Rhinolophus ferrumequinum: one gene and its partners. The protein of the gene in region 4 interacts with the protein of the main gene of each other region in a biochemical or structural test. Links are inferred from orthologs where the notes say so. Each region holds a gene or a part of one and is shown on either strand. Other genes may lie near its edges.

Evidence for each region.
Region 1: the proteins of CYSLTR2 (region 4) and SNTA1 interact in a test that uses a peptide from one of them, tested with the Homo sapiens proteins (2 studies listed by IntAct, with this or other methods). The link is inferred for Rhinolophus ferrumequinum from reciprocal best matches to the Homo sapiens genes CYSLTR2 and SNTA1.
Region 2: the proteins of CYSLTR2 (region 4) and DLG3 interact in a test that uses a peptide from one of them, tested with the Homo sapiens proteins (2 studies listed by IntAct, with this or other methods). The link is inferred for Rhinolophus ferrumequinum from reciprocal best matches to the Homo sapiens genes CYSLTR2 and DLG3.
Region 3: the proteins of CYSLTR2 (region 4) and PDZK1 interact in a test that uses a peptide from one of them, tested with the Homo sapiens proteins (2 studies listed by IntAct, with this or other methods). The link is inferred for Rhinolophus ferrumequinum from reciprocal best matches to the Homo sapiens genes CYSLTR2 and PDZK1.

What each region holds. Positions count from the first base shown.
Region 1 is NC_046306.1:21,487,497-21,495,042, forward strand, and holds the start of SNTA1 (alpha-1-syntrophin), read left to right. Parts: upstream 1-4,195; 5' UTR 4,196-4,335; coding exon 4,336-4,645; intron 4,646-7,490; coding exon 7,491-7,546. UniProt on the Homo sapiens protein: Adapter protein that binds to and probably organizes the subcellular localization of a variety of membrane proteins. May link various receptors to the actin cytoskeleton and the extracellular matrix via the dystrophin glycoprotein complex.
Region 2 is NC_046284.1:2,238,480-2,246,164, reverse strand, and holds the start of DLG3 (disks large homolog 3), read left to right. Parts: upstream 1-4,448; 5' UTR 4,449-4,804; coding exon 4,805-5,161; intron 5,162-7,685. UniProt on the Homo sapiens protein: Required for learning most likely through its role in synaptic plasticity following NMDA receptor signaling.
Region 3 is NC_046305.1:49,993,054-50,001,654, forward strand, and holds the start of PDZK1 (Na(+)/H(+) exchange regulatory cofactor NHE-RF3), read right to left. Parts: upstream 3,562-8,601; 5' UTR 3,395-3,561; intron 3,008-3,394; exon of another isoform or gene 2,778-3,007; intron 1-2,777. UniProt on the Homo sapiens protein: A scaffold protein that connects plasma membrane proteins and regulatory components, regulating their surface expression in epithelial cells apical domains.
Region 4 is NC_046287.1:88,775,355-88,783,299, reverse strand, and holds the start of CYSLTR2 (cysteinyl leukotriene receptor 2), read left to right. Parts: upstream 1-4,390; 5' UTR 4,391-4,551; coding exon 4,552-4,568; intron 4,569-7,945. UniProt on the Homo sapiens protein: Receptor for cysteinyl leukotrienes. The response is mediated via a G-protein that activates a phosphatidylinositol-calcium second messenger system.

The DNA of each region.
Region 1 (7,546 bases), on a different chromosome or scaffold from region 4:
ATTGAGTATCATATGCATGTCTGACCCTGGGTTCTTTTTCTTTTCATTTGTGTCTCCCTTATTTCGGAACTTACAACCTTGTTTTCCAGGAAAAGCACAACTCACATTTTTTTCTTTTGATTTTTTAAATTAGTTTCAGGTGTACAAAGCAACATAATAGTTAGACATTTAAACCTCTCATAAAGTGATGTCCCTCCCCCAAGGTACGACCCCTCTGACATCTTATATAGCTGTTCAATACCATTGACTATCTTCCCTATGTTGTATTCTACATCCCGTGACTATATATATATATACCTATATATTTAGTTATAGTTGACATTCAATATTATTCTACTTCAGCTTCAGGTGTACAGCACATTGGACACAGTCTATGAAATGATCCCCTGATAAGTCCAATGCCCATCTGACATCTTACATGATTTTTACAACATTGTTGATTATATTCCCCATACTGTATTAACTACAAATTTGTATTTCTTAATACCTTCACCTTTTTCACCCTGCCCCCAACCCTATTCCCTTCTATCACCCTCATAGATCTAGTACCTATCTGGCACCATACCTGTTATTACAATATTATTGACTATATTCTTTATGCTATACCCTACATCCCCATGACTACTGTGTAACAACCAATTTGTACTTCTTAATCCCTTCCCCTTTCACCCGTCCTTAACCCCCACTCCCATCTTAAAGAAGTCCCTCTAAGATTCCTTGTAATACTGGTTTGGTGGTGATGAGCTCCTTCAGCTTTTTCTTGTCTGGGAAGCTCCTTATTTGTCCTTCAATTCTAAATGATAACTTTGCTGGGTAGAGTAATTTTGGTTGTAGGTCCTTGCTTTTCATCACTTGGAATATTTCCTGCCATTCCCTTTTTGCCTGCAAAGTTTCTGTTGAGAAATCAGCTGCCAGTCTTATGGGGGCTCCCTTGTATGTAACTAACTGCTTTTTTCTTGCTGCTTTTAAGATTCTCTCTTTGTCTTTATCTTTTGGCATTTTAATTATGATGTGTCTTGGTGTTGGCCTCTTTGGGTTTATCTTTGGGACTCTCTGTGCTGTCTGGGCTCATACGTCTATTTCCTTCACCAGGTTAGGGAAGTTTTCTGTCATTATTTTTTCAAATAGGTTTTCAATTCCTTGCTCTCTGTCTTCTCCTTCTGGTACCCCTATAATATGAATGTTGGTATGCTTGATACTGTCCCGGAGTCCCCTTAAACTCTCCTCAATTTTTTGGATTCTTTTTTCTTTTTGCTGTTTTGGTTGGGTGTTCTCTACTATCTCATCTTCTACATGACTGGTTGGATCCTCTGCTTCATCTAAGCTACTGTTGGTTCCCCGTAATATACTCTTCATTACCATTATTGCATCCTTTATTTCTGACTGGTTCTTTTTCATGGTTTCCATCTGTATTTTTATGCTTCCTATTTTTCTGTTGAAGTTCTTCCTGAGATCATTGAGCATTCTTATAACCAGTGTTTGGAATTCTGCATCTGATAGATTGCTTATCTCTGTTTCACTTAGTTCTTTTCCTGGAGCTTTGTTCTGTTCTTTTATTTGGGACATGTTTTTTTTTTTTCCCTCCCCATTTTGGCTGCCTCCCTGTGTTTATTTCTAAGTATTAGGTAGGGCTGCTATGTCTTCCAGTCTTAGTAGAGTGGCCTTATGTAGTAGGTGTGCTGTGGGGTTCAGTGGCGCAGTCTTTCTGGTCACCTGAGCCGTGCACTCCAGGTGTGTCCCTTGTGTGGGTTGTGTGTGCCCTCCTCTTGTAGTTGAGTCTTGGTTGATAATTGTGTATCAATGGGAGGGACTGACCCTTGGGCTCACTGGTTGTGAGGACTGGCCTTGACTACAGTGGAAGAGTTGTTGTGTAGGGGCTGATCCTATGGAGCAGGATCTGCCTCAGCAGGACTCTGGTGCCTACCAAATCCGGCACTTGGGTGTGTCATACTCAGAGGCGGATGGGTAATGCCCCAGCTTGTTTTGAAGCTGCCCACTGGGGGCACCAGACCCAGGGCCATTTTGGAGGGGATCTGCTGTAGGTCAAGTTCAGCCAAAGCCTGTGCCCCACCCAGGGCCACCTGGCAGGAGCCACAAAGAAATCCACAGATGGCTGCTACCCATGCTGTGCTTGGAAGCGCCTTGAGAAGCCAAGCCACAATCCAAGGCCAGCTGCCGCTAGTGCCGCACTTAGGGCTGCTCAGCCAGAGGTACAGGATACGCTCAAGCCAGATGCTTCTTGTCTGGGTTCCATGGTCCTTTGAGAGACCCTAGGAAAGTCTGCAGCTTGAGCCAAGACAGGTGGTCTACACAAAAAAGCCACTGGAAGCAGCCTGGGTGTGCCCAAAAGTTGGGCAGGGTTGGGTCTCGAATTGCCCGTGAGTGGCAAACAACAGCAGACTCAGATATGGTGGCCGCCTGCATCTGCACTCGGGGAAGGGGGAGGGCTCAGCAAAGACACAACGGTCTCCACCAGTTCCCCCGTGCAGGAGAAAACTGCCTCTCTAGCCCCTCTCCCAAGCCAGACAACTCAGTTCCCCACCAAATGTCCCTGAGACCTCTCCAGCTGCTGCCCTAGCACTGGAGCTCAGAAGGAGTGATTCATTAGTGGGTAAGTCTGTACATGGTCCGTTTAAGAGGAGCACCTGAGAGTGCAGCCGCTCTCCATCTCACTCAGTCACAATCTCCGCTGGTTTTCACAACCAAAAATTATGGGGACTTCTCTCCCCAGCACTGGAACCCTGGGCTGGGGTGGGGCTGGGACCTCTTGCTCCTCTGGGGGCTGGGGGGACCCCCACAGCTGAAATAACCCCCCTGATCTTTAATGGTCACACACGGATGTGGGACCAGCCCATTCCACATCTCTGCCCTTCCTACCCATCTGGAGGTGGCTTCTTCTGCACATCTTTAGTTGAAAGCCTTCAGTTCAGCTTGATTTTAGGTGATTCTCAATAATGGTAGTTTTGTAGATTAGTTGTAATTTTGATGTGGTTGTGAGAGAAGGTAAGCACAGCGTTTATATTGCACCATCTTTGTTGTCTCTCACAACTCATATTTTTTTAATGCTTACTATGTGCAGGAATTAGGCTAAGCAGTTAGCCAGTATTATTTATTTCTCATAATAATCTTGGGGATAGTAATTTTAATATAGTATTCTCATTTTATAGATTATGAAATGGAACGTTAGGGGTTAAATAAGTCACCCAGAACCACATAGATAGAAAGTGGCACAGTGAGAATTTGAATACAGAAAATCAGAAACCAAAGCCCATGCTCTTAACCACCAAGGGATCCTGCCTCTCAGTGGACTGTATGTTCTATGAGGCAAGATACTAACTATCTTGTTTACAACTGAATCCCTACATCCAGCACTGTGTCTGGCACATAGAAGTTGTTCAATAAATATTGTTGAATGAATGAATGGATTGTAAACTCAGCTTTTGCTGCTATGTGGCCTGCAGAAAGGAGAAGCAGGAGGGATATGGGCTTGGAAGCCAGACAAACCAAGGTTAAACTAGAGGTCTCTTCTTACTAGTGGTGTGCCTCAATTTCCTCATCTATAAAATGGGGACAATATACAGGCTATGCAGGATTTATGTGAGATTTAAATGACAATGTATGTAAACCAGCCAGTTCATGTGTCAACATACAGCAGACTGAATAAAAGGCATCTATGTATTATATGTGCATGTGCACATATAATACATATATGTTATGTAGGTGGCCTCAGGGGGATTTTAGTAGTATAGAACCATTTCCCTCTTGTTGGACACTTGGATTCATCTCTGGTTATTGACTTAAACTCAAGGCCTGTCCTTGGAGTCCAGTGGTCCTCTATACGTAGCCCCGCCCCGAGGTTCAAAGCCTTGCACCAAGATCCATGTCTCTTTTTCTTATGCTCCTAAAAGCGTGAGTTACGGTCCAGGCCCTCGACGGCCTTGCTCAGCAGTCTCCACGATTGGATGCTAGGGCTCTGCCCCAGGCACTAAGGCCTCTGCCCTCGCCCCTCCTCTCCCCGCCAGCTCCCGCACCTCACTGATCCCTATCCTTACTTAGCGGCCTGGCCCGGACGCCGGTATGGTCCCACCCGCAAAGTAGTCCCGCACTACACATCTTTCGGCTCCTGGACTCCGCCCCAGAGTCCCGCTATCTTGCCTTCGGCCACACCTCCTAGATAGCCCCGCCCCTCGAGGCTCCACCCCCCCAGTCGCCCGGGGTAGGGTGGCGGCTGTCCCAGCCGGGCCCCCTGCGCCCTCTGCCCTGGGTGCTGGCTCGAAGCGGGCCAGACACTGCGGAGCAGGGCGAACGCGGCGGCCCGGGGGCTCCAAGGCGAAGATGGCGTCAGGCAGGCGCGCCCCGCGCACCGGGCTGCTGGAACTGCGCACCGCGGCGAACTCCGGGGCCGGCGGCGAGCGGTGGCAGAGGGTGCTGCTCAGTCTGGCGGAGGACGCGCTGACCGTGAGCCCCGCCGACGGCGATGCCGGCCCGGAGCCCGGCGCCCAGCGGGACCCGGAGCCCGCGCAGCTCAACGGCTCCGCGGAATCAGGCACCGCGCCCCCGCAGCTGCCGGAGACGCTGCTGCTCCAGCGGCGCCGTGTGACTGTGCGCAAGGCCGACGCCGGCGGGCTGGGCATCAGTATCAAAGGTGAGGTGAGCGAGGAGGCACTGAGGGCATAGGGTCTTGGTGTCTTGGTGTCTGTGGGCCTCCGAGGGACCAGGGCTCGCGGCGTCTGGCAGCATACCAAGGACACAGAATTGGAGGACTTCTGTCTGGGGGAAAGGTGGTTTAAGGGGACAGAGGGAACCGAGGGCACCCGGAGCACCAAGGTCGGAGATGGGTTCGAGAGTCGGAGGTCTCCGTCGAAAGGCACAGGTGTGGAAGGGTTTGAGGGGCGCACCAAGGACACGTGGGTAGGGAGTTCTGTGTAGAGGCATAGAGATCTGAGAGGGGCTGCGTGGGCATCAAGGAAAAGGGGAACCCCAGGAAAGCAAAGGGTGGCGAAAGGCGATTGAGGCCTGGGGCGCCACTAGGGCAAGGAGGGGGAAGTCTCTGAGACGACCAAGGTAGGGGATAGGGCCTGGAGTTCAAAGCGCAGGGAGGGATTGGAGATGAGGCGTCTGCTGTGCTCATGTACAGGGGTCCAGAAAGGATCTAGAAATCTGAGGACTCAGGAAAGCTGTGTACTTAGGCAGAGCCGCGTTTCAGTTTACTGACCACCTTGCCCAGGATTGAGAGGGGTGGACATAGAGTTGTTACTCCTTTTTGAGAGCTCTCAGCCCCCAATATTGACAGCTTTTTTTAGGGTGCAACCAGACTGTGCTTGAGTCCAGGATCAACTGTGTGAATGTAGACAAGTCATTTCCCATCACTGGACCTCAGATTTCTTAACTACTATATTGTGAAGCTAATGATAGAGTTGTGATGTTTTTATGAGAACAGGAGTCTAAAGTACTCACCCTGCCATCACATAGTAAGTGCCTAGTTAATTATTGCTGTTAGATGAGAGGGAAAATGGAGGCCAGGAAAGCAACTAACCATATTGCTTAAAATCTCTGCCCCCATTCCCCCCAACGGCTGTTGAGTTCACCATTCCTACCCATTTACTTCTCTCAGTGTCTCAGCCCCCAGCCGAGTGCTATCTGCCTTGGGAGGGGGTGTCAGCCCTTGTATCTTCCTGGATATGCACTGTTCTCTCTTCCTGGTGCTGGTTCTGTTTTTGGTACCTCCAGACCCTTTGACTTGGGCGAGGGGGTGGGGATAGTGATGACTTGGCTACCACTGTGTGCCATGTGTTATGCTCAGTACTCTGGGCTCACGATTCACTTTATCCTGGCAACAAGTGGTAAAAGGTAGGGAACATAAACCTTGTTTTACAGCTGAACGTACTGAGACTCAGAAAAAAAATGATTTTCCAAGGATCACACAGTTAGTGAATGGCAGAGCTGGGATTTGAACCTCAATTATCAGGCCACTGGAGAGTGCCTAGGGAAGTCAATTCTTCCCCGTGGAAGGGCAAATCTCCATGCAGCCAACGAAAGGGATCTAAAAGAGGGAAATGGGTAAGCCAGGGAGTGGGCACCAGTCTTGCCCCAAAACTCCAGCGTAGGATAGGGCAACAGATCAAATCTGGAAATTGTACACTCAATGTGTCAAAGCAGGAAGGAACTTAGAGTTCATACAGAGCTCCATTTTGCAGATGGACAAACTGAGACTTGGAGAGGAGCAGAGACTTTCCAAGGTCATATAAAGTTATACCCTAGCTCCATACTTCCAGGTGGGGGTGAAGGTACTTTTAGGAGGCGTCAAGGGAGGTACCAGCTCCATTCAATTCTTCATGTATGGAAACCAGGCTCTTGTTACCATGATGACCTCCCCCTCTAGGGTCCAGCCCAGTCCAGGCAGCTAGGAATGCACTAAAGTCCCCAGTTTCAGGCAGAACAAGGCAGATATAAATAGAAATCCCTTCCTTTCCTAGTCCGTAAGCTCTGCAGTGCAAGAAGCAAATTGTTGGTCCTGTGTGGGGGTCACAAGAGGTTTCTTTCCAGTCCTACCTCTGCCACCAATTTGTTATGTGACCTTGAAATAATGATCTACTTTTTCTGGGCCAGTAGTACTTCATCTTTAATATTTTGGGAATGGACAAGTAGTGTGATATCTGAGGGTCCAACTTGCCGTCTTCCATAGGGTGAAGAGTACTGGTTCTGAAGCCAGGAAACCTCAGTTCACATACATACTGGCTTTGCCACTTAAATAGCTGGATGACCTTGGACAAGGGGCTTCTATCCATACTTCAATTTTCCTGATGGGAAACTGAGCCTGCCTGTGTGATTGGGGTGTTGTGAAGATGCGATGAGACACCACTGACAACATTTAACACATTGCTTGGCACTTGGTACATGGAACTAATGTGAACTGTTATTACTATTTCTTATTTTAAAAGGTTATTCAAGAGTTTAGCAATAAAGCAATTGGGTAAAATGTATTAGATTTTTATGCATCAGAGATGAAATTCAGGCAGGCTTTTGAAATCTCTAGACTTTTAAGGCTTGGTTTCCAGCCTGGATCCTGGATTATAAAATTTTCTGATTGCTAATGAGATCCCTTGGAGCCATATCAAGAGCTGACTTTTATTGTAATGCCGGATTAGGGAGGTATCCCCACTATGGCAAAATTGCTTCAAGTCCAAAATATTTAAGAAAAAGCTAGTGAAGCACCTTGTAAATAACTCAAACACTGGTAAACATCCAAAGCATTGAACCAAAAGATCCAGTGACCAAACTATAACAGTATGAATTTAGAAAATGACTTATTAGTATTATTAGTGTCCCAAGCTTCTAAGACTGCTGAGATTCTCTTTATCTTCCCATTCCCTCTTTCTCAGCACTGGGCTGGGTACCGAGGGAGGCCTTCAAAAATAACTTTGCCTTGATGTGACTCCTAAGTATTGGAGTGTCCGCCTCAGTTCTTTTCTCTTTCTGTGCCTTCGCAGGGGGCCGGGAGAACAAGATGCCTATTCTCATTTCCAAGATCTTCAAGGGCCTGGCA
Region 2 (7,685 bases), on a different chromosome or scaffold from region 4:
CATGGGATGGTGGGCTGCGCCCCTTGCAACTAAAGATTGAAAATGGCGACTGGACTTGGAGCTGAGCTGCGCCCTCCACAACTAGATTGAAGGACAACAACTTGGAGGTGATGGGCCCTAGAGAAACACACTGTTTCCCAATATTCCCAATAAAAATTTTAAAAAAGAAAAAGAAAACAGCAGACTGACTAGGAACTCCAGTGACCTGAACTCACGGTGGTGAGTTCCCTGCATTTTCTTGTTGTCTCCTATGTCCCAGACTGGGTTCCAGAAAAGTGAGCAGCCTGGAAATCCTGTGGGCACCAACCAAAAAAAGCCTCAATAAAAGCCTGCTCTCTCTAGCCAAAAGACCAGGAAATGGACAGCGTAGCCAGAGAGAAAACTGTTAGATAATAACCACTCTACTGCAACCAAACATCACAGAAAAAACTGCATCCCTACACACACCAGCAAAGGCCAAGTAGAAATTCAGACTTTCATCAAGCTCCCCCATGTTCTCTGGGGTGGTGTCAGAGAAGGTCTAATAGGGAGCCTGGGCTTCCATCCCCACAGAGCAACAAGGCCTCCCCTCCCCACTGGGTGGTGTCAGAGGAGGCCTAGTGAAGAGTCAGGACTTTTGTCCCTGCCCTCTCCCTCCTCCCCTCCCTCCCCTACTCCTTAATCACCCTCGCCCCCACCCATGGTCAGTGGAAGCCACCTGGGGATCAGGAAGGAGGTACCTCAACCTCTCCCACGTATCGGTGGAGAGCTGGAACTCCCACCCTGCCCAGCAGTAAGGAAGAGCCCCCATTTGAGGTATCAACTGACATGGAGGGGAGAACTTGAAATTCTGTCCCTACCTGGCAGTGGCCCTTCCACTGATGGCTACAGTGTCAGAAGAAGTCTACCAAAAACAAAGATTTAAATAAGTTCCAGAATTTTATAATATAATAGCCAAAAATGTCTAGGATGCAATAAAAAATCTCTCTTCATACGAGGAACCAGGAGACTCTCAACTGAATGAGAAATAACAGATTCCAACACCAAGATGACAGAGAGCTTTCAATGATCTGAAAAGGATTCTAAAGTGGTCAACGTTAAAAAGAAACGTTGTGCTTCAGTGAGCAGTTACACACAGGTTGAAAAAAAAAAAAAAAAAATAGGAAGTCTTAGCAAAGAAATAGGAGATATCATGAAGAATCAAATAGAAATTTTAGAACAGATGAATGCCATAACCGAACTAAAAAATTCAGTGGATGGACTCACCAGCAGGGTGGAAGAGGACGGAGGAAAGAATCAGAGAACTTGAAAATAGAACATTAGAAATTACCCAATCTGAATAGTGGGAAAATAGACTTAAAAAACAAACAAACAACAAAAAAAACACAGAGCCTCAGACATGTGGGACTATAACAAAAGACCTAACATTTGTGTCATCAGAGTCCCAGGAGAAGAGAAAGAGGGTGGGGATGAAAAAGTCCTCAAGAAACAATGGCTGAAAATTTCCCTAATTTGGCAAAAAACATAAACCTACAGATTCAAGAAGCTGAAATTATCCCAAATAGGATAATTTCAAAGAAATCCATGCCAAGACACATTACAATCAAACGTTTGAAAACAAGACAAACAGAAAATCTTGAAAGCAGCAAGAAAGAAACAACACCTTACCTACAGGAGAAAAACAATTCAAATATCAGTGGATTTCTCATCGGAAACCATGGAGGCCAGAAGGAAGTGGCACAATTTATTTCAAGTGTTGAAAGAAAAGAACTGCCAACCTTGAATGCTATATCTAGTGAATATAGCCTCGGAAATGAGAGGGAAATCAAGATATCCTCAAACAAAGGAAAGCTAAGAGAATATATTGCCAGCAGATCCACCCTAAAAAAAAACGGTTAAAAGCAGTTTTCAAAACAGAAAGGAGCTATCAAAGTAGAAATCTTAGAACATCAGGAGGGAAGAAATAATAGAATGAATTAAACTGTAAGCACATAGACTTTCCTTTTCCTCTTGAGCTGTCTAAATTATGTTTGATGATTGAAGCAATAAGTATAACACCATTGATGTGGAGTTCAATACATGTAGTGGAAATATTGAAGATAATCATACTATAAATGGGACAGAGGAAAGAGACTTAAAGGGAGGTCAAGTTTCTTCTTTCCTCAACTTGATGAAATGACACAAGTAGATCTTGGTGGTGATAAAATGGTTCTGTATCTTGATTGCGATGGTTGTTACAGAAATCTCCATATGTGGTAAAATGGCATAGTACTATACACACATCGAACCGATGTCAATTTCCTGATTTTGATTTTGTACAATAATTATGGAAGATGCAATCATTGAGGGAAGCTGGGTGAAGGGTATACAGGCCCCCTCTGTACTATCTATGCAACTTCCTTGTAAATCTATAATTATTTTTAAATAAAAAGTATTTGTTTTTTAAGATTGAGGCTGCTTAGATTAAAAGTAGCTAAAGACACAAATGTAATTTGAGAACCTTGATTAGTTTGTGATGTTAAAAAATATAAAAGGCAAATTGGGGGAAATTTGAATATAGAACTGGATATTAGATGATATTAGGTGATATGAAATATTGCTTATTTTCTTTGATGTCATAATAATATTGTGGTTATGTAGGAGAATGTCTTCATTCCAACAAGATGCATGCTGAAGTATTTAGAGAAGTGAAATGAAATCTGGAACTTACATTTGAATGGTTCAGAAAGAAGTGTAGGTCGATCGATAGAGCAAATATAACAAGACATTTACCAGTTGTTGACTCTACTTTTTTCTTTTTTTCCGCAGCACTTCTCATCATATATACTGTGTGATTCATTTATTTATTGTGCTCAGTTTTGTCTGTGTTCTCTCACTAGAATGTAAGCTCCCCAAGGGCAGGGATTTGTTGTGTTTTGTTCTGTTTTCTGCAATATCCCCAAATCCTAGAACAGTTTCTGGCACATAACAGGTGCTCAATGAATATTTGTTGAATTAAGAATGAATTTCTGTATCCCTAGGACCTAGGTCAAGGTCTTGCACAGAGTAGGTGTGCAATGATTGTTGAACTGAAGTGAGATCTAAGTTCTGTTGTACTGAAGTGGTTCAGAGCATGGACTCTGGAGGCAAATGGCCAGGATTTGCATCCTGATTCTGTCACCTCCTGCTGTGGTACCTAGCTGTGTTAACAGCTCTGAGCCTCGATTTCTCGTTGGTAAAAATAGGGTAATAATAGTGGCACCTTGGTAGGGTTTTTGTCTGCATGCAAAGCATTTAGGACTTTGTAAAGACTCAATAATTGGTAGCTGATGACAAAACAAGGACAGCAAAACTCACAGAAACACAGAGGAAACTGATGGTTACCAGATGGGAGGGAGTTGGGGGGCTGGGTAGAAAAGGTGAAGGGATTAAGAAGTACAAATTGGTAGTTACAAAGTAGTCACGGGGACGTAAAGTACAGCATAGGGAACATAGTCAATGATGTTGTAATAAGTATGTATGGTGCCAGGTGAGTACTAATCGGGGGGATCACTTTGTAGTCAGAAATGTCTAACCACTATGCTGTACATCTGAAACCAATATAATATTGTATGTCAACTGTAGTTAAAAAAAAAAAAAGAAGAGCAAAAAGATAGAATCCTCCCAGCATGCCATCCTCCTTCCATCCCCCAGCAGGCTGAGCCAGGAGCAGCTAAGGGGATGTCCTTGGGCAAGTATCCCAAGTTCTTCTGCAGACCCCAGGAATGGTTCCTCTTACTTCAGACCTCTTCCTGCCTTTTTCCTCCTGCCCTGGTCTCTCTTTCCTCTTGGCATCCTGAAGCGCTTTCCTTCAACCTAACTGTGCGGGAGTGGGGCTGGGGGGAGACAGGAGTCTGTGGGCCAGGGACAAGAGCCTAGAGCTTTCCTTCCCTCCGGTCCTAGGCTTAAGTCCTTCACTGGTGATGGAAGCAGGTCGAGTGGGAGGCTGACAGCATTTCAGGGCCTAGAGGTTGAGAGAACAATAGTCCTGAGGAGGGGGCCCCCGACAGGAGAGCAGCCTCGTAAGCCGCCCTCTTCCCTTATCCCCTGTTAGGAGAGAGCACTTCCCCACCGTCCCTTCGTCCGTTGTGCTGCCTCAAATCTTTACTTCTGGTGGCCCCAGCTCAGAGCACGCCCGGGGACCCACTGAGCGTCCCCCTGCAACTCCCTCTGGGAAGTGGGGTGGGGTGGAGTGGGCGGAGGATGCGCTGAAATTGGGGGTATGAGGACACGAGATTGGGGACTGAGTTCACGCGTGGCCCAAGTCCCATGCGACCGCCCTAGGGTCAGCGGTACCTCAGCCATCTGGGGGGTTGGGGCTGAGCCTGGGGATCCACTGCCCCTGTTCCTTTAAGGAGCCGCTGTTTAGCATTCCTACCGCTGCCGCTGCCGCTGCCCGACTCTGCACGCTGATTGGCTGGAATCAACTGAGACGGGAGCCAGGGAGAGATGCTCTTGACTCCACTCAGATCCATCCTGGGGACCAGTGCAGGAGCGGTCCTCGCAGCACCCATCCTCTGCCCAGACTCCCGCTTCTTGTTTGCCGCTGGGCCTCGGCCCAGAAGCCATTACGGGCGACACGGAGCCGCCAGTGCTGGAGGGGGAGCCGTGGGTGCGGGGCAGCGTTGGGGCAGAGGCCCCAGGACGCCCGCCCGGCCCCAGGCCCCGGTCCGCCCGGGCGCCCCCACGGGTCCCCCCCCCTTCCTGGTCCGAGCAGTGTGAGTGTGCCCGGGAGCCCGGCGCCGGCGGCGGCGGCGGCGTGGAAAGCGGCGTGGGCTGGGGGGTCCGGGCCGCGGGGGGCAGTGCTATGCACAAGCACCAGCACTGCTGTAAGTGCCCCGAGTGCTACGAGGTGACCCGCCTGGCCGCCCTGCGGCGCCTGGAGCCTCCCGGCTACGGGGACTGGCAGGTGCCCGACCCCTACGGGCCAGGTGGAGGCAATGGAGCCAGCACAGTTTATGGGGGCTACAGCTCGCAGACCCTGCCCTCGCAGGCGGGGGCCACCCCTACCCCCCGCACCAAGGCCAAGCTCATCCCCACCGGCCGCGATGTGGGGCCAGTGCCCCCTAAGCCAGTCCCGGGCAAGAGCACCCCCAAACTCAACGGCAGCGGCCCCAGTTGGTGGCCAGAGTGCACCTGTACCAACCGAGACTGGTATGAGCAGGTATGGATCAGCGGAGCTGGGGGGGTCGTTGGGGCAACCCCAAGGGGCTGGGGAGTGGGGGCCGAGAGGCCTGGGGTGCAGTAGGGCTTCCTGGGGCTGCAAGCCGGACCAGGAGAGGCGGTGGGAAATGTGTGCTTCCTTGTGTGTGTCTGTTTGGGGGTCTCCATTTGGAGGGGGTTGGGAGGAACTGTCTGTGTCAGGGGGTGAAGGTATGGCGGAGGGGCACATTTTCCTGTGCGGGGGAATTGGGCTGTCTCAGTGTGGGGGTTTAGCAGTGTCTCTGTGTCTGGCAGGGGGCGGGAGGTTCTGCGGGGGCTGTGTGTGGTGTGTCTCCACGGCAGGGGAGGAGGGGGCACGGTGTTCTGCGTAGGGGGACGTGTGCGTTGAGGTGTGTGGAGGAAGGCAATGGTGCTCCTTTGAATCTATGTAGAGCCCATGTGCCAGGCTCCCTGAGCGTCCTCCCTCCCTGCCAGGAGTCCCTCTCCGTCCCAGTCCCTTTGTGTGTGAATGGGCACATGGACGGTGTGAGGCCGTGTCTCTGAAGGTGGAGGTGTCTCTGTGTGCCTGTGTGTGTGGCTCCATGTATGTGTGTGAGCATGTGCCTGTGTGTGTGTGTGTGTGTGTGTGTGTGTGTGTGTGTGTGGTGTCCCTGGTTAGAGGCTCTTGACAGGCAACAGAGGGGAGGGGGAGGAGGAGAGAGACACGTCCCAAGCAAGGCTGAGAGACTGAGGACGGACTCTTTTGTCCAAGCAGCTCTGAAGTGTGTGCTGGGGGGGGGGGGGGTTGAAGCCAGCTTCCTCGCTCCAGAGCAGGCATGGTGCCCTGGTGCAGGGACTGGCCCCAGTGGGGCATGTGCCCCTTGGGTCCCCCCAGATGTGGAAGAGCTTGGCCCCCCAGGCCTGACTTGGCACAGCTTGGGAACCCCTGGGTGCTGGGCACAACTCTGGCTTCCACTCCCAGCCTAAACTGCCAGCTTAGAAAATGGAAGAAGCATCTGTGGGAGAAGCAGCAAAATGGAGGCTGGGCCGGCAGAGCCAGGTCCCTGGCACGCATGGCGGAGGGCCTGTCTGGTTATTCAGCTCTGCAGCACCCAGGGTAGGGGGAGAGAAGGAGGGTTTGCTGTTGAGGGCAGGTGCTGATGGCCCCAAGCTGGTGACCATTCTGGCTGCCTCTGTCCTCCTCTGGGGATAGGATGTGCTCTCACTCAGAAGCAAAGGTGAGGACTTCCTGCAGAGAGGGGTCCTGGGTTCTGGTCTTCTGTCTGTCTACACTGACTGCATCCCGTGTCCCTTGCCTTGGCCCCTTGCCCTCTGCAGCGAGTCCCCGTGTCTCCTTTTCCTCTCTATCATGGGGCACTACCCTTGCAAACACTCTCTCATGCTTGTCCCGATCAACTGAGAGATGAGTGACAGTTCCAAGGCTGGACCAGTTGGCCAAGGTTTGTCTGCCAGGGCTGATCCCTGGATGGCTCCTGGTCCTGGGAGCAGGGTCCCTGAGGGGGGCAGTGGGAGGGTGGACCAGTGGCAGCTGGATCCTCTGGATGTCAGTGGTACTGGGCTTGAAGCATGGCTTATCACATGTGGGTACACATGGTACCCCAGATGCATGCAAGAGCTGCATGAGTGTCCTTTTGCCTGTGTTTCTTTCACATGGTATTTCAGGCAGCTGTGTCGGTTTGGGGACTCTGAAGAGTCATCAGTTCTTCCTCCTGGGATCAGGGACCAGAGTGGGGCTGCAGCTGGAGTCCTCCCCCCAACTCCTAGGGCTGCACGGCATAAAGTTCCATGACCAGACCCAGGAAAGGTGGAGGCATGACTAGCCAGCCCTCTCCCCCTCTCCACCTTTCTGCCTCTGGAAGCCAAAGCTGTGTGGGAGGAGGAAAGCAGAGCAGGGCATTTGGAGGAGCCCTCATCCTGGATTCCCAGCTCTGCTCTTCAAAGGAGACCTGGGGTCAGGAAAGGGGCAACTCAGCCAGAGAAAGATGTGGGATGGGTGCCAGGTTACCTGGGGAGAGAGGCAAGAGGGCTTCTCCATTCGTGGGGATGATGAGAGTGGGAGTCAGGGAGCAGGTGCTACTTGTCTGTCCAGAAGTATGACAGTGGCCACAAGTATATCTTGTCTGGGAGGCCACCTCTGTGGGCTGGTCAGAGTAACCCTGCATTCTGACCCCTTCCCTTGCATCTCTTCCCATGGCTACTAGATGTTGAAGGCCATGGACTCTGCTGCCCGTCAGTCCACGGGCATCAGCTCCTCCCTCGTGGGGAATCTTGTCTACTCTGCTCCTGTCCCGCCCCTGGCTTGGCTTCTGACACCTAGCCAGCCAGATCCTACCCTGGTCCTTTCCACTGGGAAACATGGAGGGTTCAGGATCAAATGCCCCTTGGTAGAAAATGGATTAGGTCTTTGACTCCTTCTGACCATATGAAGAATTGGGCTTGTGGGGACACAGAAGGAGATGTAGAATGAGGGTTCATGAAGTATTCTGAAGGGGGAAGCTTGCCTTTTGCCCAGGAGCTCTGCTGGG
Region 3 (8,601 bases), on a different chromosome or scaffold from region 4:
ATTTATGTTGGGTGAGGATTGGAGTCTCAGAAGCTGGTAATTCTCTCAGAGCAAGAGCAAACCCTCCCTGGCTGCCAGCGGGTAAGCTAGGGGCTATCTTTCCTGCTTATCAAAACTCCTGGGTTCCCTCCTTCCCCGGGGTCATGCCACTCACAAAGCTATCTGAAGGTCATCAGATTAGTAGGACTTCAGGTATGCTAGACACAAAGCGCTTCCCCCATCTAATCCTCACAATCCTAGGAACTCTGTTCAAAGGCTCATCTGACCAATGAGGAAATAGGTTTAGGGAGGAAGAGTCTGTCTGCTCTGGAATGCAGGTTTCCATTTCCAGCACGCTAGCCATGACACCCACCAGGCAAAGAGATGAAAGGAATCTGGGCGGTCCCTCATGAAGGACAGAAGCTGCTGAGATCTGGAGAAAAATGTCTCCCTCTAACTTGCCAATCTCATCAAATTCCTATGCAACAAATGTGAAAATCATTTAACCAACATGTGAACCAGAGACGCCCAGTTCCCCCCAATCAGACTTGGGACCTCAAACTGTTATTACCTTGATAAGGGTCCGGCTGCTCGCTGCACAAAAGCGAAAGCTTGGGAGACTAGGTTAGTGTATTCAAAATGTCAGCACTCTGGGAGGATGGCGGACTTCTGTCCAAAGGCCATCCCCCCAACTCCCAGCATGGCCAAAAGGTTTTATAGGCAGGTAAGGAGACGCAGAACCAAGGAAAGTGGAAGTTGGTCAGGCACTTCCCAGAGGCTGCTTTGTTTCAGGGATAGGAGTGGATCTTATACAGACATGAGAACTTCTTTCAAGTCATTGAACCAGGTATGCATAGGGTCAGAAGTAAACAGAATCATAAAAACTGGTATGCATAGTAAATATATAGTAAACAGTCATTAAGGTTTGGTGGGAGGGGAGGGAAGCAAAGAAAACTTTCAAAAAGTCCCAAGCTAAACTACACTACTAAATCAAATTCCCCTAGAAGTTTAAATCTCAAAATAGAAGATATAGTGTCACCGTTACAAGATGACCTGAGAGTATCAGTTCTTCAACCTCTTCTCCTTCAGAGCAGCTTATCAAAACATCCCGATTCTGTCCTTGCAGCTTCTTTCCCGCCACACTAACTGCCATTGATCCAAATAGCTAAGCATCTACTCTCTGCCAGGTGTTGTTCTGGGAGCTGGGATCACAGCACGTACCACAAAAGACAAGATCCCTGCGCTCTTGAAGCTAAACATCTGGCAAAGGTGGTATATACAAAGTAAACAAGATGACTTCTGAAGATAGAGGCTACACATGAAGAGATACGGCGGTGGGGTGGAGGAGGGAGGGCCCTTCCTGGGGAGGTAACCCTTTAATTCAAACCCAAGTGCCAAGAAGGAGCCAGGCGTCTAAGCTCCAGGATCTATCATACCTGGTGGGCTGAACAGAACAACTGCGATCGTCAGTCTCAACCCCTTTTTTTATAGATGAGTAAATCGAGGCCCGATGAGATTAAAAGACGGGACCAGGTCTCCTGATGGACCGCAAGGCTGTTTCTCCCACTATCCTCAGAGCCTTCAGATACACACATTTGAGACGTACGCACGGGTGTGTTTATACTCAAACACATAAGTATGATTTCATTTTCAGTGCAGCCTTTAGCAAAAGAGGAGAGGCTTCGATAGATGATGAAATGGAGGCTACAGCTGGCGAAGTGATTTGTCTAATAGCCTGTCGCTGAAAACTGAATCAAACCCCAGGTTATTTGCAATCCACCCCCATGTTATTTCTTCTGTGTAGCCAGTGGTCTATGAACGTAAGACATCATTCCTAGCAACTTCATAGTTGATGGTGCAAAGAACATGCAAAAGAGTCAAAGATAAGAACAATTTACTTAGTCATAACATACAAACTCAAAGTCCCTGAGTTATTTGCTGCAGGAAAGAACATGTGACCCCAGGTAACTAGACAACCATGACCTGACACAATCAGTGCGTCCGACTTTGGGACACAGTAATGAGAGCATGTGGGTGCAACACTGCAGGGACTAAAACTAAGAAGGAATGTGTCCTCAAGAAGCCAGCCCAGACCAGGATTCTCCTTGGTGGGTGAGTCCTTAGAAGAAAGTCTCATGTGAGTCCCTTGATCCCTCTGCTTAGGAAAGAAGCTGCTAGTTGGTTACCAACCTGCACACAAGAGAACCATCTCGGTGAGTGCTAAAAAGAAAACAACCCAGATTTTTCCGACCTACGCGAGACCCAAAGAACTAGAGAATCCAAAGGGTAAAGCCTGGAGGTCTACGTTTTAAAATTCAGCCAGCCTAGAAATCACTGTTTCTCCTCATTTCTCCGTGCTATGACGTAATGAAAAGAGGAGCAATGCCTGTGTTCATTATCCAGAAAGTTAAGCTACGTTGCATCCTTTAAGACAACCTCTAACACCCAAAGCCCTTGCGTAGTGGGACGGCGCTGTATCTCGTGACCTGTGAGGTCTGTCGTCTCACTCCCTTTGGCTGCATATCAAAGCCGCATACAACCCTGGGAAGATTTTTCTGAGGATCGTCCCCAATTCCTTGGTGAAGCAGACCCTCTCCTGCCAAGGGTTGGGGCATCTCCAACAGAGAGAATCTTGGAGAGAGGTCAATCTCTCACCCCACCCCCCACCACCACCAAAGGGGCCTGGCTCCTCCCCCGTGAGCCTGGCTTATGCTCTGAACAGCCAGCTACTGCTTAGAAAAGGAAAGGGGAAAGGAAGAAGGTGCTTCAGGCCCAGGTGGGACACAGTCAGCTCTTACCTGGGTCTAGAAGAGGAGCGGCTCGTACTGGGGAATTTACTGTCTGCTGGCAAGCTGTAGTCTTGAAACTCACTGGACTTTGAACGAGGATTGATTTAAAAGCTGATGTATTTAACAGAGACGCATGGTCTGAGTTGAAGTGACCTCTGTCCGGCTTCCTGCCAGCTAGCTCAGCCCTGAGCTGGACAAACCCCAAAAGCCCTCAGCAAACCCAACGCACTGGCCCACCGGCCTATCTGTGCGGGATGCCAGCCCCTCCCAGAAAGGAGGAGGGTGGAGAACAGGGGAAGGACAGCCTCTGCCTTCCTTGGTTCCCTCCCTTCAGCAGATGCCACGGTCACAGCCTTAGGAGCCTCCACTATCTTCCATCCCAAGGTCAGGACTGAGGCTCACCTGAGCATCCCCACCCACTGAGGTCTTCCCGAGGAGCAGGAACCTGTGCGACGCCCACCAATAGAAGGCCAGGAGGCCGAGAAGCCCAGTGAAGGGAGCAAAGCCCCTCCCGTGCCCATCCTTTCTCCTGTCTGCGAGGGAGTTCTCGCTGGCTCCCTAGGAGTAAAGCCCGGGCTCTTACGTCCCAGGTCCCTTTCTCTTGTTAAGTGCTCTCTCTCTCTCACCTGAGCGTGCTCTGCTTCTCTTCTCAGTTGTCTTCCCCTTCCACAGTTACGGCCTCTCCAGCAAGCCCCGCCGGACAGGTGGGAGGCACTTGCACGCGCTCCTCTCAGCCCGGCCACCTGGGCAGTGTGGGGGCGCCCCGCGCTCGGCTCAGCACCCCAGCCGGGACCAGCAGCTGATCCGTATCAGCGGCACCCACACAGGCAAACCCAGCACCCGGCTCCTCACTGACCTGGATCCTCAGCCCACACTGGAAACCAGGGCAAGAGATGGCTTTAGGCTGTGAGGCAGAGCGACCCACTGGCCGAGCAGGGGGTGGCCTCTCCCTCCACCCCCATGCTGCAAGGGCCATTTGTTTCCGCTGGGCTTTGGCTGCCTCCAACAAAGGCATGGCCCAAGCCAGAGGGTCCATGGTGGAAGATGACAAACAGCTGAGCAGCTAACTCAGGTCACCTCCACCTGGTGCTGTGGCCCCCTGGGCTCCCTGTGTGTCTTCCAAAGTAGAAAGGAGGAATGGGGAGAATCTGGATTTCAGATCTAAACACCTGGGTTCACATTCTGACTGCCATTTCCCAGGTGCTTGATCTAGATGTTTCTCCCTCTGAGTCTCACTTAGCTTCATCCTCTGTAAATACTCCTTATTACGTTGTTTTTAGAAGTTTCCTTTTTTTTATATCGAGTCAAAAAGAGCTCTCACTCCTGCCCACAGGTTCTGATGGCTCCCTCTGAGATGAACTGAGTCTACTCTGTAGCTATATAGCAGTCCTTCAAATACTGTGGGGCTGATGTATCCCCCATAAGCCTCAGTCCTGAAGGTGGTCTGCCTGTGCCAAGGCTTCAGGACTTCTCTCCCTGGACCCAGTCGATTTGTCAATGTCCCTCTTAAAATCAAGGACCTTGAGGGGAAACTTTGTTTTTCTTAACCTTTTTTAAAATTTTTTCGGGGTTTTCTTTGTTGTAATGCCAGGTGAGAGAATTGTTCTATATCTTGAGTGTCGGGTGGCTCTGCAGTTCACTGTCTACAAGTACAGAATTTCACCAACCTGTACCCCTAGACTAGGTGAATTATAGTGTATGTAAATAATGCTATCATTTTTTAAATGAAGGAGCCCCAGTAGTAAAATCTATTCTTGAGCCTTCTGAAATTTAAAAAAAAAGTTGAATGACAGAAGAAAAAAATAAATAAATAGATAACCCTTACAGTGAAGCTTCCACTCCAGCCCCAGTCGAGAGGATTCTCAGACTCGCCCTCCATCCCAGCACAGATGGAACCGCCACCAGCCTTCAGACTGGACATAGAGAGGCCTTCGAAATGCAAAACACAGTGTTGATTCAAAATTACATGGAAATGAGCGATTTTTTTTAAAATGACAAAAACCCTACCCCGGTGAAACACTGAACGGAAGGCGATTTGCCCCCCCACTAAAATTTGGATTTAAAAATCTCATGCCTGTAAGTGGATTTGATCTGATTAACGCAAAGCAGAGTAAGTCTTTTTATAGATGACTCAGATCTAGACATTAAGGAGAAGGGGAAATAAGATTACCTAGCCTGGTAAATCTTCATAGCCATTATTCTGTTATAATGGGGATATCGGCTCAGCATGACCCCAGGAGACGATATCCCCATTATACAGATAAGAACACTGAAATTCATCTGACTAGTTATCGTGTCCAAGGTCATCTGGCTCAGAAAGATTCAGGAGCCTGTCCCTCTCCTTAGGCAGTGTTGTTCCACCCACCATTCAGGGAGGGAGTGTGTTTTTTTTTCCCTGGAGGTATTCAAGCAAAGGCTGAGGATCTGTGTCACGTTACAGAAGGATGTTCTGCCTTGTTAGGAATAGGGGATTTTGGGGGGTCCCTTACAATTCTAAGATTCTGTGATCCTAAATACCTTGGGTCCTAAGGCAAGCCCGTGAAGGTGGATGGTGTAAGTCCTGGTGAGGGTCTAGAAAGCATGTAAAGCTATGAGCATGGATTTTGGCATCAAACAGATAATGTATTGAATCCTAAATCTGCCATTAATAGTTTTGTAGTTTTGTGGGAATTTTTTTACTGTGAGCTCAAGTTTATTTGGGCTTTATCTCTGGGAACCCTTGGCAGGCTGGGTGGAGGGTTTTCTTTGGGTTTTGTCAGCCAGCACCTCTCTATAACCCTAGAATAATGAGAAGACACTAACACCCTGGGGCCAATTTATGTTAATTACTTGTCTTAGTGTTTCTAGATCATGCAAATAATTAATGTCAGTTACAACCCCAGCCCCCCCTAAAGGGCAGATCTGTGGTTGGAAATTTGCAGGAGAGAATTCCTTTTTTTCCCATAGTCCAGGTCAACAGATTGTTTCCTCATTATCCCTGATCTGTTTTTCCCATAAACATATCCTCTTTTATCATACTGATATATGTTTATTATTTTCTGTCTCTCCCCCACCAGAATATAAATTCCCCAGGGTCAGAGATCTGTATTTGTTTTGTCACGGTATCCCAAGTGTCTGGCATATAAGCCTAGCTTATAGTAAGCTTTCAAAAATGTTACTGAATCAATAAGTGAATAAATGAATCTCCTTTTGCCAACAGGATTGGTTTTCAGCTCATGCTTTCACTGAGAACGTAGCTTTTGAGGATTTCAGTTCTGTGGAGGGTCTCAATTCTGAGGTCTTACCTCCTGTCCCAAAGTGACCGTGTGAAAACAAACTGCTAGGTTACTGGTTTCAGCTTTCACTTCACTTCTGGACCTTATAGATTTCTTTCCTTTCTTTCAAGTTCAACTATCTATTTGGAAAAAAAAACTGTTTGATATATTTTACCCAGTTTTTCTATGAACTTTGAAGAGGGAGGGTTTTCAGATGACCTAGTCTGCCATGTTTGCGGAAGTGGTTCTACCATTTGCCTCTCAAAACTCTGGCTTTTTCTTCTGTAAAATATAGATAATACTAACAACCTCATAAGATTTCTTGGAGACTTAAGTAAGAAGACATTTTTACATCACCCAGAGCCAGGTAAATGCTCAGTACATAATCGTGTTACTAATGTTTTTGCAAGAATAAGCCTTCTTAATTTATGGGCACACATTGTACAGACAGGCTCCTGGAAATAAACAGGCTAGAAGTACAGTGGGCAACTCGGGAGCTCAGGATGTTTGGGGCATTGTGGTAGTGTTCTTGCCCACTCACAACACAGCGTTTTGTGCAAGTGGTCAGACACAGAAAACTGGAAACACTTGCCAATTCTCCCCAATATTTTCCCCACCGTGTCACACAGAGAAATTGATAATAATTGTACAGTTCACTAGGGTAAATAGCTGAGGCTTTTCAAGGCTGGAGTGACCGAAGGCCAGCTGCCGCAGGCTCTGCCCAGACCCCCCAAAGATTGAGGGGAATAGTACTTGAGCATACACTTAGAAAACTATAAAACATTGTTGAGAGCCACTCAAGAAAACTTAAGTAAATGAAGATGAGTGATACCATATCCGTGGATTGAAACTTCAACACTGTAAAGACATCAGTCCTCTCCACATTGATCTACAGATGAATGTATCGCCAATCAAACTCCCCACTGGGTTTTTTCTGTGATTTTTTTTGTTGTTGTTATTTGTTTGTTTTTTGGTGGAATTTGACAAGCTAGTTCTGAAAAGTAAGAATAAGGAAGGAGTTGCTCTGCTGGGTAACAGGACAGTAGAGTGACAGTAATTACTACAATATGGCATGGGCATGAGATAGACAAATGGACCGATGGAATAGACTAGACAGCCCCACAACAGACCCGTTCAAATAAAACGGTTGACTTCTGACAAAAAACAGAGGGAAAGGTTGGTGTTTTTTCAATAAATTGTTCTGGTGTATTCCTTTTAGGTGTGTTTTACTTCATTCAATAATTACCTTTGTGAGAGTATCCACGTTGCTGCGTGCAGTTGTTTTCATTCTGGGATTCTGTTTACATAATGTCCAAATACCAGGCAGAACTTGGGAGATGCCTGCTTAGGTGGTAACACGCTGTCCTGACTTCTGGGGTGCTGGCAAGATTCTAGCTCTTGAGCTGAGATGTGGTTACACGGGTGTTTATGACTGAGCTATGTAGTTTAGTTTTATGCCCTTTTCTGTACATATATTGTATCTGATAATTGAGGGTAATAAATATTTTAAAAGCTATGATATGTGTATAGCATACTGGGGTCAATAGAAGAAGCTCTCTGATGCTGGAAGTGACATACCTGGGGGTTTCAGCTGTGCTCAGCCCTACCTGGCTTATTCAAAATTGGAAGAGATCAATATCTTGGCACTGGCGTACCTTGGCACCCTGGTCAGGAATCTTTGATCCAGTATTTGTCTTTTTGTGACTGGCTTATTTCATTTAGCAAATGTCTTCCAGGCGCATCCATGTTGTAGCCTGTGTAAGAATTTCCTTCCTTTATAAGGCAAAATAATATTCCGTTGTATGGACACCACATTTGATTTATCCATTCATCTAGCCATGAATCGGATCCTTCCACCTTTTGGCTATTGTGAATAATGCTGCTGTGAACATGGCTGTACAATATCTGTTCGAATCCCTGCTTTCAATTCTTTGAGATATGTCCCCAGAAGTGGAATTGCTGGGGAATTCCATATGGAATTGCTGGGGAAATCCATATGGAATTCCAGTGGAATTGCATATGGTAATTTTATGTTTGGAGGGGGCTGAGGAATTTCCATACTGTTTTCTACAGAGTCTGCCCCATTTTACATTCCCACCAACAACACACAAGAGTTCCAATTTCTCCACAGCCTCACCAACACTTATTATTTTCTGTTTTGTTTTGTTTTGTTTTTATGATGGTCACCCTACTGGCTGTGAGGTGACATCTCATTGTAGTTTTGATTTGCATTTCCCTAAAGATGAATAATGTTGAGCATCTTTTCATGGGCCCGTTGACCTTTCGTATGTCTTCTTTAGCGAAATGTTTCTTCGAGTCCTTTGCCCATTTTTAAATCAGGTTGTTTGATTTTTTTGTTGTTGAGTTGTACCACCTCAATTTTTTGACTAGGAAATAAAGAACTAGAGAGGTGAAGTGACTTGGCCAGGGTCACTCAAGTTCATAGCAGAGCCATGGCTAAAACCCTGTGCCTTTACTTCCAAGGTCAGTGCCCTTTCTACTACACCAGTCTTCCAGGCTGGGTACAAGATTCCAGCCTCCACCCTTCATGTTTGACATCCCAAAATTTTTATTCCTAT
Region 4 (7,945 bases):
CTCCAAGTTGAATGAACAAGCATCTGTGGCTTGAGGTGGAGATGGAGGTGAGCTGAGAAAGGAAATATGCTTTCCCAGAGCCCTTAGGCAGTTTTGGCCAAAGCTGGGGGGCTTAAAGTGAGGGGTAGTGAGGGTGGCTGATGAGATCAGACAGACAAGGGCACTGATGTCAATTTATCAGAAGGATTTTCAGTGTGGAGGTTAGAAGGCCTGGCAACAGTGGCCAAACAGAAGACTCAGAACGTCACTGAATAGCAGTCAGGGAAGCTGCAGCATGGCAGGTCTACCAGTTCTCCTTCTGACGAGGCGCTGGCAGGTTTGGTGCTGCTGCTGTCGCCCGCAGGACTGCTGTGCACTAAGGCCTTAAAAAGATGGTGCAGACTGTACCAACCTTGATTCTCCAGAAGGTTATCTGTTCCTCAGCAGTTTACCACAGCGTCGCGGCAGCTGGTTGTCTAGCAGCACGTCGTTCGCTGCTCTTGGGTATGTCTGTGTCAGTGTGTCTGAGTGCCTCACTCTTCAGGTCCTGAGCACAGGTCCCAGGCCCAGATCTGAGAACTGGAGGTGAGCACATCTGTGGGCTCACATTCCCTGTCAGTGCTGATGGGAGGGGGGGAGGGGGCCCCGGTGACGAGGGCTAACCATCACCCCGTCCATGCATCCAAATGTATATTTTCCTAAGTATAAAGGAAAATAACTTCTGTGAGGTGTGGGACAGTTGAAGCTTTGCTATGACCATGAAAATCGCGTAAGCAACAATGTGAGCTATTACCTCTCTTTGGTGTTCTTCCTAAATGAAATATGGAATCTCCATCTGCTGCTGCTTCTCACTATTTCTTTGTTACTTTATTACCAGTAAAGCTGTAGGAGATGAAGCCTTAATTTGTTCCAAGCCCCCTTTCGGTACAAAAAGCCATGCACACTCTCCCTCTAAAGCAGTGGAAATTATGCTGTCAATTTATTTCCTAATTTCCCTTGAATTTACCTGTTCATATATTTCTCACCTTTCCTTCACATATTTAATTGGTCTGGCCGGTTTTTATAGCCACATCTAGCAGGGAAGTTTTTTTCTTTTTTCTTTTTCTTTTCTTTCTTTCTTTCTTTCTTTCTTTCTTTCTTTCTTTCTTTCTTTCTTTCTTTCTTTCTTTCTTTCTTTTTTTTTTTTACAGTCTAGTGAAAGATTACAATGTGGTGTAGTCAAATGTATTTTATATTAGCAGGAAGGAACAATCCAAATGTTTTAAAGGTTCTCAAGAGAAAATATTGAGCTAAATGAAATTTTGTATCTGAGCTGGTCCTGCTTTTGGTCTGTGGCTATTAGCTAAATGAGGCTTTTAGGGAGGATGTTTGTATATTTTCTTTCTTTAGATTTCCAGGGATTAAGATGGTCTTGGAGGTGTTGTTTGAAATCAAAGCCCCAGCCTGTGTAGTTATCCTCTCCTTGCAACCTGTCTGATAGTCATCAACCCTTCCCACTGCCCTGCAGCCCCTTCTGGGGCCCAGAACCAATCCCAGTCTCAGGTAGAGGAACTGAAGTAACTCTGGGACGTAGTGTTACCTTTGGGGTTGATTTGACCTTGATCTTGTGCCTTGATTCTAAAATTGGACACATCTCTTATTCCTGAGTTTCAGTCCTTGCCTCACCGGGGGAAATGGACCCCTGTCTTGGCACCCCGGGTCTGAGTCTCTGTGTCCAAGGATTTTTCCAGCACTTGGGCCCTCTAGGATGCAGAGCTTGCCTGAACTGGCCAGGCCTCCTCTCAGGTCCAAAGTCCTTTTCTTGCACCGTGGCTTGGCGGCAAAGGGTCTTCCTTCCTGCAGACTGACCTCCCCATGTGGTCTGCCTTCCTCCCCAGTTGCTCAAGGAGTCCCTGTTGCTAGGGTCTATTTTTGTTTCCCCTCACATTCCTCAACTCCCTGGTGGACCACCTGTTACCATCTCTCTTTGCTGGTTTCTTGTCTGCTAGAGTCCATGCTCTGCCTATGGTAAGGGACTTTGCCCCAGCATCTGTAGCTGGCAGTGTCCCTGAAGGCTTGCCACATCCTAGGCTGCCCTTCTCATTGTAATTCACAAGCCCTGTTGGTCTTGAGATGGGAGGATTGGTGCTCCTCACGGTCAAAAAGTTTAAGGACTTGATTGCTTTCGAGTCTATTTGTACTAACTCAGACCCTTCCCTGGCCTCTTAGATATAGGCTTTCCTTATGATGCTATCAGAATCCTGGCTCCAAAGTCAGGATCTTTCAAACTAAAGAGTTTCTATATGGCCATAGGGACAGGTCTCTGTCCTTTTCAAAAAACCAGTTTGTAATGGAACACTTCCATGAAAATTCCTCTGGCTGGTCACATACCAGTCTTAGTTTCCTTGCCTTGTCTCCTATCCCCTAGGCTCTGAGTGTTAACCCTGATTCCAGTGTTCTTCCCATCCAGAGCTGACCCATAACTGTGACATCTGATCCAACTCCATGTTTGCTTCATGGTCCTGGTTTGTGCATGCTGTCTGTATGACGTCCAGCACTTCAACACCGTACTTCCTGATTTGAGGTTTGATCCTTCTGTCCTCGCTTGGCCAACGAATAGAAACTTTAGCTCTCTATCAAACTGGTTAAAACATTATCTCCAAGCCTCTTATTTTGCTATCTTCCCTTTCCCAAGTCAGGCATACAGACTTCCAATCTCTTCGTGACCATCTCCCTGAACTGTATCTGCAGCCTTGACCTGTCTCCTGAGTTCTGTGCTCTTCATTCTAGCAAATGGCCTCACCATGCTTCCTATAACCCAAGCTAGAAACCTCAGATTTACTGTTGAGCCAGATCAAAAAGAGAGATCCTTATAGTTAGCACCAAGGCCTGGGGCCATCTCAGAAATAGGATGTGGCCCTCAGTTCTGCACAGGAGGTATTTCATCTTGTCAGTCAGCTCATAGACCTCAAGAAATCAACTTACACAAACTAAACTCACACGGGATGAATTTTCAACCCAGAATTCTGATTTGTACTTTTATAATGGGGGATTCTACTTTCCCTTTGTTGGAATCTTCCAGTTCACAATCCACAGTCCACTCTTCCAGAAATTAAGAAGATGAGTTATCAGAAGGTTCCCTGGTAGGGATAGACTCAGAACCAACGAGTGGAGTTCTCTTGAGAGATTTTCATCATAAACACGTCAGAATAACCTGAGAGTATGCTTCTGCAGAGTATGCTTCTGCAGAGTATGCTTTCCAACAAACACAAAGAGGAATCTACTTTGTACACTTCATATGAATGAGAGAATTGTCATCAACTCATCCACATGGACAGTGGAATGATGGATGTTGAAGCTAGAGCATCCTTACATTCATTCATGAGAGTGAAGCAGCTAGTGGTACTTACCTAGTACCACGTACTCTTGTGAAACACACACACACACACTCTCTCTCATTTAATCCTTACAACTCAGTGCATAGATGTTGTATGTCCCTGTTGTGGGTTGAATTATGATCCCCAAAAAGATACATACAAGTCCTAACCCCAGGTAACTAATAAGGTAAATGTGACCTTATTTGGAAATAGCATCTTGGCAGATGTAATAAGTTAAGAGGAGGTCACACTGGATTAAGATGAGCCCTAAGCTGAATAACTGGTGTTCTTTTAAGAAGAGAAGACATTGTGACACCGAATACATATTGGGAAGACAATGTGAAGACACAGAATGAAAACACCATGTGATAGAGTCAAGATTAGGGTGATGCCTCCACAAGCCAAGGAATACCAAGATTGCTGGTAACCACCAGAAATTAGAAGAGGCAAGAAGAAAATTCTTCCCTCCCTAGGGCCTTTGAAGGAAGCATGCCCCTGCTAACACCTTGATTTCAGACTTCTAGCCTCCAGAACGGTGAGAGAATAAATTTCTGTTGTTTTAAGCCACTCAAATTGTAGTACTCTGTTAAGGCAGGCCTAGGAAATTAATACAATCTCCATTTCACCAATGAAGTAATGGGTGCTCAAAAATGCAAATTCACCCAAAAGTAAGTGCTTAGAACTCTGTGACTCCAAACACTTGAACACTTGCTTGTTGATCTGACCCATTAGGTAGGGGTTCTCTTTCTCCTCTATCAAAATCATCTTCCCAATGGATTATATAATAACATCAGCATTTCCCAAGTAAAGTTGTGTAGAACATTAATCCTGTGGGATAATAGAATGTGTTAATGTGCAAAAAAAGTTTTTAGGGTCAAAAAAGAGAGGCATCCTATGTATAAATCAGCCTTTCTTTTTCCCTGCAGGACCCCTAATGGAGCCTTTAACATGCATTATAAATCTCCAAAAGGAGGGATAGTAGAACTTGCTGTGTTTCTCAGGCTGATTTGAACATGGAAGTCTTTTCTTTTACAGAGAACATCGTATGGAACTCATATGCTACGGAAGATACTTCGGGAAATGCTGAATTAAAGAAAGAAAGCTTTTCTTTTTTTTTGACATCATTTACAAGCCAACCATGTTTTCTGAGTTACATCTTCACATAGGTCTCTGAAGGAGAATTGAAAAACATCCATACTGCATCAGAAATATATTTATGAACCATCCCTTTGGGTAGGTTAATGTAACTAATGTTTCACCATACCCCTTTTATTCTTTATTGTGCGGATTCTCGCAGTGTCTTCTAGTCCACATCCATTAGAAACATGCCTGTATTGGAACAAAGTTGGGTGTATTGATTTGTTGTACCAAGGGAGAATGCACACCTTGGGAAACTCAGAACGAAGATATGAGGAATTATTAGAGGATTTGTGCTTGTGTTAAGTAATTTGGGGATGAGATTCAAGGAAGCAGGAATTTCCAGGAACAAAAATGGTTATTAGTTCTCATAATAGACTCTGAAAAACAGGGACCTAGACTATCACACCCAAATAATGAAAAGATGGCCCCCAGAATTTACCTGTTTTTTTCTAGACATCGAGGAAGTTTCCCCCACCCCTACCCCAGTCTCGAGCTGTTCTGTAGTATTTATACAGGTTCTATAAGAAGTGCTTACTTCAGCATATATTTCTCTTTGGCTAGCTAAGAAGAAATTAAGAATTATGTCATTATGCATGACAACTCTGCCTAATAAATTTACATTTAAACCTGGGCTTTATCATAGATAAAGCCAGACACTAGTTAAAGTGAGAAGGACAGATTTTAATCAATAATATACTATTGCAATAGAGAAAAGAATCCAACATGAACTGAACTCAACTTCAATTTTTATGGAGGTAACAGGACATTTTCAAGGGAGAAAGAGGGGATGAAAAGGTGCTCAGTAGAAAATTCCAAAAAGTTGGAAGGGAAGCTTGGTCTATGTGAAATGCATCTGGGTTTGCTAACTGGCACTTACAGAGGGTTAGCCTCCTACCTTCTTACAGAGGCTGGTAGACAGGGGCCCTTTCTTCAGGTGTTGGTTCAAACAAAGAGTAAATTCTTTTGACAGACTTGAGTTATCTCAGGCTATGTTAAAAAGGGGAGGTTAGGGTCATCCTAGAGATGTGGACTTGAGCCATTAAGAACGATGTTAGTGTTTTATTAGGCCCAGGTGGAAACCTAGTTGGGAAGAGGGCTCACAGGAGCCTGGCTAGAGTTTGATCAGGGAGAGAATATTGTCAGCTTCCAGAGAAGTTGTATACTTTGTGACTTTTGCCAGGGTCGGAGACAAGTTTTGCATAGTCCTTTCTTATTGCTCTCTCAGCTCTGGTAGTAGTTGCTTGCACAGTCTGTGTGGGGACAGAGTCCCAGAGAGCCGTTTCCAGGCTCTCAGCCTCATGTGGAAAGGTGCTGGCTCGGGTGGTGGATGGCTGTCAGCTGTAACCAGTTAGCCAGTTGGCCACTGATAGAACTTCCACGGCTGCGTTGGTTAGTGAATCGGTTGATTGGCAGGCAGAGAATCGGACAGCAGGTTGCGGATTGTGTGAATCCAGCCTCCAGTGAGACTATAGTGGTATGACTGCCCTAACTATGGCTCCGTGGGTGTTCCTTTTTGTCCTAGCCACACCCTGCGTTCTTATGTGGGGAGCAGGACCAGAGACCCTGCAGGCCACCCCGCACGACAAATGGCGGAGCGAGCAGGGTCTCCAGCATGACAGTCTGCATGCATGGGAGTTAGTTATGCTTCCCAAGTGTTCTCTCAGTTAGCCTGTGCTTACCTTTTTCTAAGGTTTCTGTGTATTCTTTTTAGGGAAACAGGATTCGCTGGAGGGAGTAATAATTCAAACCTTTGAAATTCTCTAACAATTATCCTGAATACACAGGCTAAGTTAGCGTGTGGCGGGTGGGTGTAAACCTGGTGTCCAAATAAATAAGAAGTATCCTAGTGAGGCAAGGACTGTGTTGGTATTGGGAATTTAAGAATCATTGATCACAACAGGCCTTCTCTTTATGTGAGCCTCTGTAGGGGTTGCAGGAGTGGGGGGGCCACTGGAGGTGGATAAATTCCTTGGGGGAGTCAAACATGTCCTGCAAAGCAGGCTGGAATATCTCTGAAGAAAACAAAGAAACTATTTTTAATCTAAAATAGGCCCCACCTTTGTTCCCACTCCTAACGGCTTAGGTCTTCTGGTGAAGACCTCAGCAGAAGTATTTTGCTGATGGGGTTCACTGTAAAATTGTTAACAGACTGAAGTTTGGGATTAATTATACAAGGGGAACTTAAATATCAGAAGGGATATGTAGAAGAAAATTTACCTTTTGAAGTGGTTTTTCTTCTTTTTTTTAAGTTATTAAATTTTGTCAGCAATCAGTTGACTTCAGAACAGTAGCTATGGTCTGAGAAAACCACAACAGATATTTTTTTTTCTTAAGTGGCAGAAGACCATAATGGGTCACAGGATAAAGAGAAGGGAGATCATTTTAGTTAATAGAGGGAGCGAAAGTACAGTGATGGACAAGATGAGTAGTGAAGGGAAAGAAAAAGCGTGCTAAAGAATCAGAAAATTAATTTTGTTCTGTCGTGTGGGAAAGCTGTCTGCTTCTGCAGTCAGTAGTTTGCTCTGCTATTTTGGGCAGAAGCTGTCCACATCTGTAAATCAACAGCTTCCGGAGAATTTCTAAAAATCTTCAGTTTGAGGTCTTTCAAAGGAATGAACTTCCAGTAGTTGACAGGAAGTATGTATGTCTTTTAGTTGGGAAACATGAATCCAAAGATTAAAATATTGGAATCTTAATACTGTGCCAGTTGTTAAAAGTACCAATAAGGTCCTTTCCATCAGGTTCAAGAGAAGTTATTCTCTGATGTCTTTTCCAGAATATCAAATATCTAGGTTTCACATCACACCAAGGCCATTTTGGAAGATATTTTGGAAATGCAGCTCTCCTGCAGATATCACATTAGATTGCAATAAGGTAGGATCAAAAATTGGAAATAATTCCCACATGCATAAGACAACCTGTTATTTACTCAGAAGGATTTAATTTGTGGGTCCTAGAGGAGATTGCTCTTATTACCTGCCATCAAGGTCAGTAGAAATACTTGAGACATTAGATGTTTGAGTGTTGTAGATTCCATCAGTTCTTGTTACTTTCTTTGTTGTTTGTGCATAAGGACAAAGATGTTTCTAAATAAAAGGGAAATGCTTACAGTTCTTTATTGACTGTATATCAGTGAAATGTGTGTCTTTTTTACTGGAGAGACAAGTTGGGATTACAAAATGAAGTGATTTTTTTCCCTACTACTACAGCCAGCGCTCTTCAGCAAGGAAAAGCTTTTAACGGACTCTGAGAATCAGCAATAACCAGAACACATTCATAGACCTTTTAGAGATGTTCAAAGGAGCCTTAAGGCTGTGGTTGTCTATGTCCTACCTGCAGTCTCGCTAGCATTGTGTTGATGGAGGGTAGGGCAAGCATCGAAACATCCTTTAGCAACAATCTTAAAGTTACCCCACCACTGTTGGTTAAATATCATTGCCAGTATATCCCTGCTATTGTAGGTAATATCA